Mus musculus: one gene and its partner. Each later gene encodes a partner of the first gene's protein in a complex. Links are inferred from orthologs where the notes say so. Each region holds a gene or a part of one and is shown in the gene's direction. Other genes may lie near its edges.

The links.
Region 2: Ing5 (region 1) and Kat7 share a complex: the UniProt entries of both Homo sapiens proteins name them as parts of the HBO1 complex. The link is inferred for Mus musculus from reciprocal best matches to the Homo sapiens genes ING5 and KAT7.

Annotation. Positions count from the first base shown.
Region 1 is NC_000067.6:93,802,507-93,806,855, forward strand, and holds the start of Ing5 (inhibitor of growth protein 5), read left to right. Parts: upstream 1-1,458; 5' UTR 1,459-1,496; coding exon 1,497-1,533; intron 1,534-3,541; coding exon 3,542-3,613; intron 3,614-4,349. UniProt on the Homo sapiens protein: Component of the HBO1 complex, which specifically mediates acetylation of histone H3 at 'Lys-14' (H3K14ac) and, to a lower extent, acetylation of histone H4. Component of the MOZ/MORF complex which has a histone H3 acetyltransferase activity.
Region 2 is NC_000077.6:95,307,254-95,311,582, reverse strand, and holds the start of Kat7 (histone acetyltransferase KAT7), read left to right. Parts: upstream 1-1,336; 5' UTR 1,337-1,533; coding exon 1,534-1,548; intron 1,549-1,884; exon of another isoform or gene 1,885-2,025; coding exon of another isoform or gene 2,026-2,046; exon of another isoform or gene 2,047-2,205; intron 2,206-4,329. UniProt on the Homo sapiens protein: Catalytic subunit of histone acetyltransferase HBO1 complexes, which specifically mediate acetylation of histone H3 at 'Lys-14' (H3K14ac), thereby regulating various processes, such as gene transcription, protein ubiquitination, immune regulation, stem cell pluripotent and self-renewal maintenance and embryonic development.

The DNA of each region.
Region 1 (4,349 bases):
TCAAAAACCCAAACAACAGTACTCTAGAGGAAGAGAAAAAAGGATCCGCAGTCAAAGGCTGGGCTGGGTTATGTTTTGCCTAATGAACAAAGATTCCATACCCAGCACAGAATAAATTGGATATAGTGAGTGACATAGCCTATAAACCCAACATTTGGGAGGTAGATCAAGGTTTATGCAAACATTTGAACTAACACCCAAAGAAGTGACACAGATGCCAGACACATATGTAAAAATGTGCAACACAAACATATTGTTAGGAATCATGAATTAAGATAATTTCACCTCTTCGAGAATAGCCCAAATCTACAATTCTAACCCTTCATCATGCTGGTGAGGACGTGGAGCGAAGGAGACTGTCAGTGCAGAGGAGAAGGCAAAAACGGTGTGGAAGATAGCTTGGCTGTTTCTCAAGAAAGCACTCTACTTTTAACATGAAGTCAATATTTACCCAAATGGGTTGGAAACTATGTCTGCACACAAATGATTGTATCAGCTCTAGCCACATTTGCCTAAATATGGAAGCAGCTAAGATGTCCTCCAACACGCAAACTGATAAACTGGTAATTACACAGTGAAATAATTTTGAAGTAAAAAGTGAATTATCAGTTACTTACTAGGACATGGAGGAACCTGAACTGTATAATGATAAATGCAGCCAGTCTGAAAAGACTGTGTACTGTAAAATGCAACTACATGGCATGTTAGCAAAGCAATACTACAGAGACTCTAAAACGTTTATTGGTTACAAGTATGCGTGTGTGTGTGTGCGCGCGCTATTGTAATAGACCAAAAGAATTAAAGGCAGTGAAAAATATTCTTCAGGATGCTATAAGGGGGATACTTAATACTTCTCAGAAATATTAGAGCCCACCAAGAGTGGACTCTGGTAAACCCTGGATTTTAGTTATATTGTTTCATTAACTGTAACAGAGTTGCCGTAGGAATGTAAAATGTATTTTTGCAGGCATCGAGGGGTGCGTGGCTTCTTCACGAAGTGCGAGTCAAAGCAACCGAGGTCCAGCGTGGGCACGCCCCCCTCGGGACCAGACAGCCACAAAGAGCATGGAAGTTAACCGATGCCTGTGAGGGGGTCTCCTTCCGGGAGGCCCCGTCAGCCAGGAGAAACCACAGGCAGCGGGTGTCTGAACAACGCGGGAAGAGCGGCAGGTGTCGGCTGGCAGGTTTGGCGCCAGCACACGTGCAAGCGGAGTCCCCTGCCAGGGCTTGGAATCCGGCTGGGCCAGAGACAGAGCTTCCACATTGCAAACTGCGAACCGAGCACATCGCCCATCCGCGTTCCCTCAGGGCAAGCCCCACAGCGCCGCCTGGCGACCACAGCCGGCCGGAAGCCTAGGGGTGGCCCCTGAGTTGCCCCGCCCACTTTCCGGCCAATCGGAGCACGCGGCTCATGAATAGTGAGCGCGCGGCGCCGCCCCGCCCCGAGTCCGCGGCACCGCCCGCTCGCGCAGACCCCGAGCGTGGCCGAGGCGAAGATGGCGACTGCCATGTACTTGGAGCACTATCTGGACAGTAAGCACTCTGGCCGAGCCGCCGCCCGCGCGGGTTCGCGCCGCCGCCGCCGCCCCCGGCCCACCGCGATCCGTGCGAGGCTCCGGGATGCGGAGGAGGATGGGGACTGATCATGGGGACTGTGGGGGCTCACGGCGGGTCTGGGGCGGGGCCGCAGATGGAGGGCGTGGGGCGCGGCGCGGGGTCCCGCCGCCTCCGCCGCGCCAATTCCAGGTGCGTCACGGAGGGGTGTGGCCTGGGGCTCAGCCCGCCTTCTCCGCTTCGGCCACACCCCCGACGCTGACCACGCCTCTGTTCCCGCCTCTCTACTTCGGTCTAGGTTGCGGGGAGGCCCGCCCCTTCTTCACCTGCGGCTTGTGGTGCTCAAATCCCTCTGTAGAGCCAAAGCCACTGTGTTTGCTTGTGGAGCTGTAGGAAGGAACTCTAGGCTAGTGGGGTGCCTTTTTCGAGGGAACTCGTGCTATCACGAGCCAGCCCGGTAAGGGAGGATGCTCTGTATAACGGGTTGACCTTTGACATCCCAGAAATTGGCAACTCCGTTTATTTATAGACCGTGAGATTGGCTCCCAGCAAGAACTCGGAGGAGGATTATTTCCCACTCTATAGTGGAAGAATTGAGACCCTTTGGAGGGAGGTAGATCAAGCCAGTGGGGCGCCCATTTTCTCCTTGGGCCTGGGCAGTGGGACTCCAAGGTGAACTATCTTTATTCTGATGTCCATCCAGTGGGCATTCTGAGGAGGGTTCAAGGAGAGTTCATTTCACTGCTGACATTGTGTGATGGCCCCTTTCTGCTCTCTCCACCTGCCCTGTGCCACCCATGCGTTGGCAAGAGCCCTATTTCTCTACAACTCACTGATTAGTTGGGGTACACACACACACACACACGCACATATATATACATATATATATATAGCTCCCAAGATTAAGGCATGGGGTAAATATAGATCCAGAAACTGCTGATAAAGGTCTCTCTATCTGAGAGTAGAGAGGGCGACTGGAGGGTAGAAGGTTAAGTAGCTGACAGGGTCGCTGGAGTCAAGCTGTAGATAGGAATGTCTTGGTGAGCTCAGGAAGTTATAGGCTTAGAACAGCAAGTTTTATAAAATTTAGCCCTAAATTGCTGGCCTTGTTGGCTGTGGAGATATTTGAGTGCAGAAAGACCCAGAGAGGCAGCTGGAGCCTGCTGTAAACTTAAGGACTGAGGTGTATCTGTACTAGGGGATGCAGTGTGGGGCAGAAAAGCCACATGGGTTGGTTTGCCAGCCAGCTCACTTGAACCGCAGGGACTGGTGAGCTGCACAGTGGGACCTGCTCGGTGCTAATGGCTGCCTTTCCAGTGCTCATAGCAGTGTGTGACTAGAGACTGGTATGTTGGGCCTTGCCGAGAGAACAGTGTCTTGAGACCACATGGTCTGCAGCTCCTGGCATTGTAGGAATCTGGACAAAGTTGGAGAGATCAAGGAGGACTAAGGTTCTGGCTTGAGTTTGGGAGGATGAAGTTCACTGTGTGTGACATAGAGGCGAGGGAGGGTGTGGTTCAGGGGAGGAGTCTGAGCTGTCTTCCCGGCCTGTGTCTGCTGGGGGCCAGGTTTCTGCATCCTCCAGCTTTTGGCACTTCTGAAACTGTCAGCCTGTTGTGCTCACTGTTTGGTACCTTCCAGCCCCTACAAAGTCTTAATCATTTGGTCCCCAAACTAGGACAGAAATAGATGAAGCCTGCTGTTGTAGGCTTTGGTGTAAGGCCCTGTATATTTTATGTATATGGGTGTTTTACATGTGTGTCTGTGTACCACATGTATGCAATGCTCTCCAAGGACAGAAAGAGGGCATTGGATCCCTCAAACTAGAGTTACAGATGGCTGTGAGCTTTTTTGTGGGTGAGAGTTGAACTTGAGATTACTGGTAGAGCAGTAAGTGCTCTTAACAGCTGAGCCATCTCTCTCTCCCATCCATGGAGGCAGGTTTTTGTCTTATTGAGAAGTATAGCAACTTTCTTGTCTCTTTCAGGCATTGAGAACCTTCCCTGTGAACTTCAGAGGAACTTCCAGCTGATGCGAGAGCTAGACCAGAGAACAGAAGGTGGGTATAGCCTGGGCTGGGTTTTCACCAGAGAGAGACAGGAGCGGGCGTGGGGTGTCACAGGGCCCTGAAGGGACCTTGTATATTGGAGGGTTAACATTGCACAGTGTCTTGGAAGGAGTGCTGGTCCTTTTTTTGTTTTTTGTTTGTTTTGTTCTTGCTATGTACTGGCTGTGTAGGCCAGGCCAGGCCCAAACTCGGATCCACTTGCCTCTACCTCTGGAATGCTGGAATTAAAGGTGTCCACTATCATGCCTAATTTTTGTGTTTGTTTGTTTTGAGACAGGGTCTTACTCTGTAGCCCAGGCTGGCCTTGAACTCTCAGTGCACCTTCCATAGCCTTCCACGTATTTGGGAAGGAGGAGCAATGCTGATACTTTTAATTCAGGGTTAGTTTCTTGTAGGGTCAGCCTTGGGTTCAGACCTCATCTTCCACCTTATTTGAAAGGCAGTCTCTTGTCATCTTCACTGCTGTATATACCAGGCTAGCTGGGATTTTCCAGTTTCTGCCGCCCATCTCCAGTAAGTGCACTGGAATCGCAGAAGCACGTCCTACCACACTTGGCTTTTAAGTGCGGTCCTTGAGGTCCTAGAGGACTCAGGCTTGTGTCCGTATGCTCTCATTGCCTCTGAGCCATCTCCCTAGCCTATCTCTTGTAGCCCTGGCTGGCCTGAAACTCGCTCTGTAGCCCAGGCTGGCCTCGGACTCAGAGATGCACCAGCCTCTGCCTCCCAA
Region 2 (4,329 bases), on another chromosome or scaffold:
GATAGGGGCCTGTGGGGGTTCAGGGGATAAAAGCACTTGCTCTTTCAGCAAGCTGGATGACCCGAGTTTGATCCCAGAGACACCACAAAGGTGGAAGTTAGGAATCTATTCCCCAAAGTTGTCCTCTGAGCACTCACCTGGTCATGAGTGCGTGCTCAGCTCACACACACACACACACACAAATCTGGAACCAGAATTCTATCTTGGTAATTACTGAGGTTGCTTTGATTCCAGCAAGTCACTCTTGGTTCACCTTGGTTCTTTCAAGTCCTCTGAGGCTAAAACTTCAAGGCCTACAAACCACTTTCCAGACTTTTCTTTTTCGAGACAGGATCTAGCCTGGAACTGGCCATGTAGACCAGGCTGGCCGTAAGCTCATGATTTGGATCTGCCTGCTTCAAAAAGCATGCACCCCCACCCCCACCCCCCCACCTGGTTCCAGACTTTTCGTATAGCTCTTTCTTCTAGTCTTAATTTCTTCTTCTTATGGCCTTTTATTATTACTTGAATACCCACTCCCTTTCTAGTGTCTTTCAAAATACTATTTCTCTCTCCACTCAGTTCTTGGCTCTTGCATTTGTGCTACAGAGGTCACACGGGCTGAATGAGGTTCAACACTTCTCCGACTTTTGGTACAGCACCCTCACATTCAAACCACGTCCTCCGCCCCTCTCCGGGCCACCCAAAGATCTCAAACCAAAGCAGAGCACTGATAAGCCGGGGGCGTTTCACAACAGAGATAAACTGGAAATTCTTTGGCGCTCCGGCATCCTGAGAATGGCTCTGCATCATCTCATAACTTACTTCTTGTTCTCTTAACGCAAGGACAAGGCATAAAGAGAACACTCTACCCCACTTCAAGACCGACAACGACCCTGTCAATCCTTTATTCAAGCCCCATTCACACCACTCCGGAACACGGAATAGCTCTTACAGCAGTTCCTTGGGCAAAATATCTCTTGCCAGTTCGGAGTTTACAGAATGAACGGAAACGTCCTTCGGCCGACTAGGAAATGAAAGAGTTAAAGATCGACAACCTGATGGATTCTGGGGTTTTCCTCCCTCCACGCCACAAATTAAAACGACGAGGAAGGAAGAGTTTGCCCAATGTAAAGATGAAAACGGTTACCTTCAACTGCCAGACTTCTGCCCCAAACAATCATGGCTACCTAATCCCACACGAATGCCGCCTACCTAACTAAAAAGGTCTAGCCGAAGGTTTCACCACTGGTGCCGTCTCCTGCCCAATTCCAAAATGGCGCTGACTGGCCTCACTAAGAGTTTCGAGCTTCCCATGATCCTCACTGGCCTAAAGGTCAGGTGACGCAAGCCTCAGCCGGAAGTTAAGGAATAGGCGCTTCCAGCCCGCGGCGCTTGCGCAGAAGGCTCTAGACGCTGAGAGGTAGGAGGCACTTGGGATCGTCCGCAGGGTTTGGGACAGCTACAGAGGCCGCCACGGAGCCCGCCGGAGCCCCCGTTCCTGCTGGTGCTGCCGCCGCCCGAATCGGAACCGTCGGGCTGCAGCCGCCGGCAATGCCGCGAAGGAAGGTGAGAAATGGCAGAGAAGGGATGGCGGGTTTCTAAGGGGAGTCGATTGAGTAACGTGACGCGGTTGGCCACGCCTCGTCGTGCTTGGGTTCCAACTTTCTGGTCCCCCGAACCTAGCCTAGCTACTCTGTCTCCTCTCGGTACCAGACAGAAAAATGTGGGCCCGACCCTGGCCTCGGCCTATGCCTGTAACTATTCCCGCCCTCTGCTTGCCCGGATCGGAGGCGTTCTTGTTAATTGGTCGCGGAAATGTCTAGAAGCGTATTGATTGGATGGTGACGCCGCCTGTTTGGGCCCAACGGTCACCTCCCCGCGTGCGTGGGCGGTGTCTCGGTCTGGCCCCGGTGCTCTCCGACTGGCTGTGGCGAATGCTCTCCCTTCTCTTTATTGGCCCAGCTTTGCAGTCTGTTCTTGTGGCGGGTGCGGCTTAGCAAGGCCTGGATTGGGGCGACCAACGCCCCGCCCTTCCGGATAGAGATGGCGATAGGTGTTGTAAAGGCGAGTTGGGAAGACCACTTTCCTTTCCTGGTGGGGGGATTACAACAAAGCCGAGGATGGGTGGTTAGAAAGCCAGCGCCCACCCCCAAGGGATAGCTCGCAGGCCTGTTGCGTCTCAGTCACCGTCTTCCACCTATTTGTTCAGTTTGACATTTCCTGGTCAGTAAATGTTTGTTGAACTGTATGACATTTGCCCCATATGTTCAGTCGTAAAATGCAAAGAGCAGTGTTACGTGCTAGTTGCTAGGAATTCGAAAAGTATGCGTGATCACTGGCTTAAAGGGTTATCGCTGTTGAGAGAAGAACACAAAGAACCATAGTTCATACAGTCTCTGCTTGAAATTGTATACACTGTAAGAAAGCCGTTAACGTGGGAAATAAGTAAAGAGCTGATTTTCAGGGTTAAGCCAGGCAGAATTGATAGGTCATGGACGGGTGTCAGGGTCTTTGGCTGAGATGACCCTAAAGTTTGCCTTTTAGTGACATTCTGTGCCTCTATTTACTTGTGGTCAGATTTTTGAATGAAATATTTGGATGGATAGACGGTTGGTATTCATATTTCTGCAGAGATCACTCTTCATGGAAGCTTTCCAAGTTAAATATTTACATTAATGTCTCTTGCAATGACCAGAGTTGACAGGTAGTATTTTTTTAAAAGATTAATTTATGTATTTTATGTATGTGAGTACACTGTAGCTGTACAGATGGTTGTGAGCCTTCATGTGGTTGTTGGGAATTGAATTTTTAGGACCTCTGCTCACTCAGGCCCAAAGATTTATTTATTATTATACATGAGTACATTGTAGCTGAGTTTAGACGCACCAGAAGAGGGCACAGGTGTTTGTGAGCCACCATGTGGTTGCTGGGATTTGAACTCAGAACCCTCGGTAGAGCAGTCAGTGCTCTTAACCTGCTGAGCCATCTCATCAGCTCGACAGGTAGTATTTATATCCAGGCATACCAAATACAAGAGACAGACCTACTGGTTTGTTGGAATGATCTAGTCTCCTTTTAGCAGTTTCCAAATGTAAAAGTGGAGAATGTAAATTCTTCCTGGATGTTATGGTACAAGCCTTTAATTCCAGCACTTGGGAGGTGGATCTCTATAGTTTGAGGTACACATGGCTGATATGCTGGGGTGTCCTGACTCAAAAAGAAGAAGAAAATGTAAGTTCTTGCTGGGTATAGTGATACACACCTGTAGTTCTGGCATCCTGGAGGCTGAGGCAGGAGGCTCATCTTGAGCTTAAGGCAAACCTGGGTTATATAATAAATTCCAGGCCAGCCTGAGCTAAATAGCAAGAACCTATCTCAAAACCAACAAAACCCAAATGTAAATATGTTGGTAACTTGGTTGATGGCCAATCTGTCCTAATCTATCCTTAGGTTATTTAGTTTTTTTATATGCCTCATGTAGTGTGATACTAAATTTCTGTTTGCTAGAAAATATTAATGTTTTTAGTGTGGGTTGTTAATCACAGGATATATGTGTCCTCTGTAAGAATCTAGTAACTCCAAACATACTTGGCCCCAGGGAGCTTATTCTTTGAATAAAGCGTTGGGGCCTGGGACTAAGCTATAGCTCAGTGGGGTGTGGTTACTGCCGGGAAGCCCTGAGTTCAGTCCTTCGTCTGTCCCACTCCCTTTTCCTGCCAAAGATAGTAGGACTGAGTTTGAGGAGTTGTAGTGATTTCAGCAAGTACTCTTTGTCCAGCTTAGAAAAGAGCACGTGTCAGTGCTTACTAGGTAAAGTAATCTTCATGGCTCATCACCCTTCCAGAGGCCGAGAGTTATGGCTAGGGTGTGGCATGCGTTTTTCTGAGAACCTGACACGTGGGGCTGCAGGGATTGTTCAGCTGGTCAGAGTACTCATTGCTCTTGTAGAGGACTGGGTTCCAAGCACCTTGTTTCAAGCCTCACAACCGCTTATGACTCCAGTCCCAGGTGACTGGACAACCTCCCTTGACCTCCGAGGGCGTGTATGAGATCAATATACAGGCAAAACTTTCACACATACAGTAAAATAAATCTAATTTTTAAAAAGCCCGGTTTGAATACCTATTTAGTTTTTAGTATAAATTCCTTTCCAGCAGCACTTATAACATCCATGTGGAGAAACTTTGAGGACTGATGGTTAAGAAAATAATTTGTATCTTTTTTTTGGTTAATTTCTTTCAGTGGGTAAGAGCACCCGACTGCTCTTCCGAAGGTCCAGAGTTCAAATCCCAGCAACCACATGGTGGCTTACAACCATCCGTAACAAGATCTGACTCCCTCTTCTGG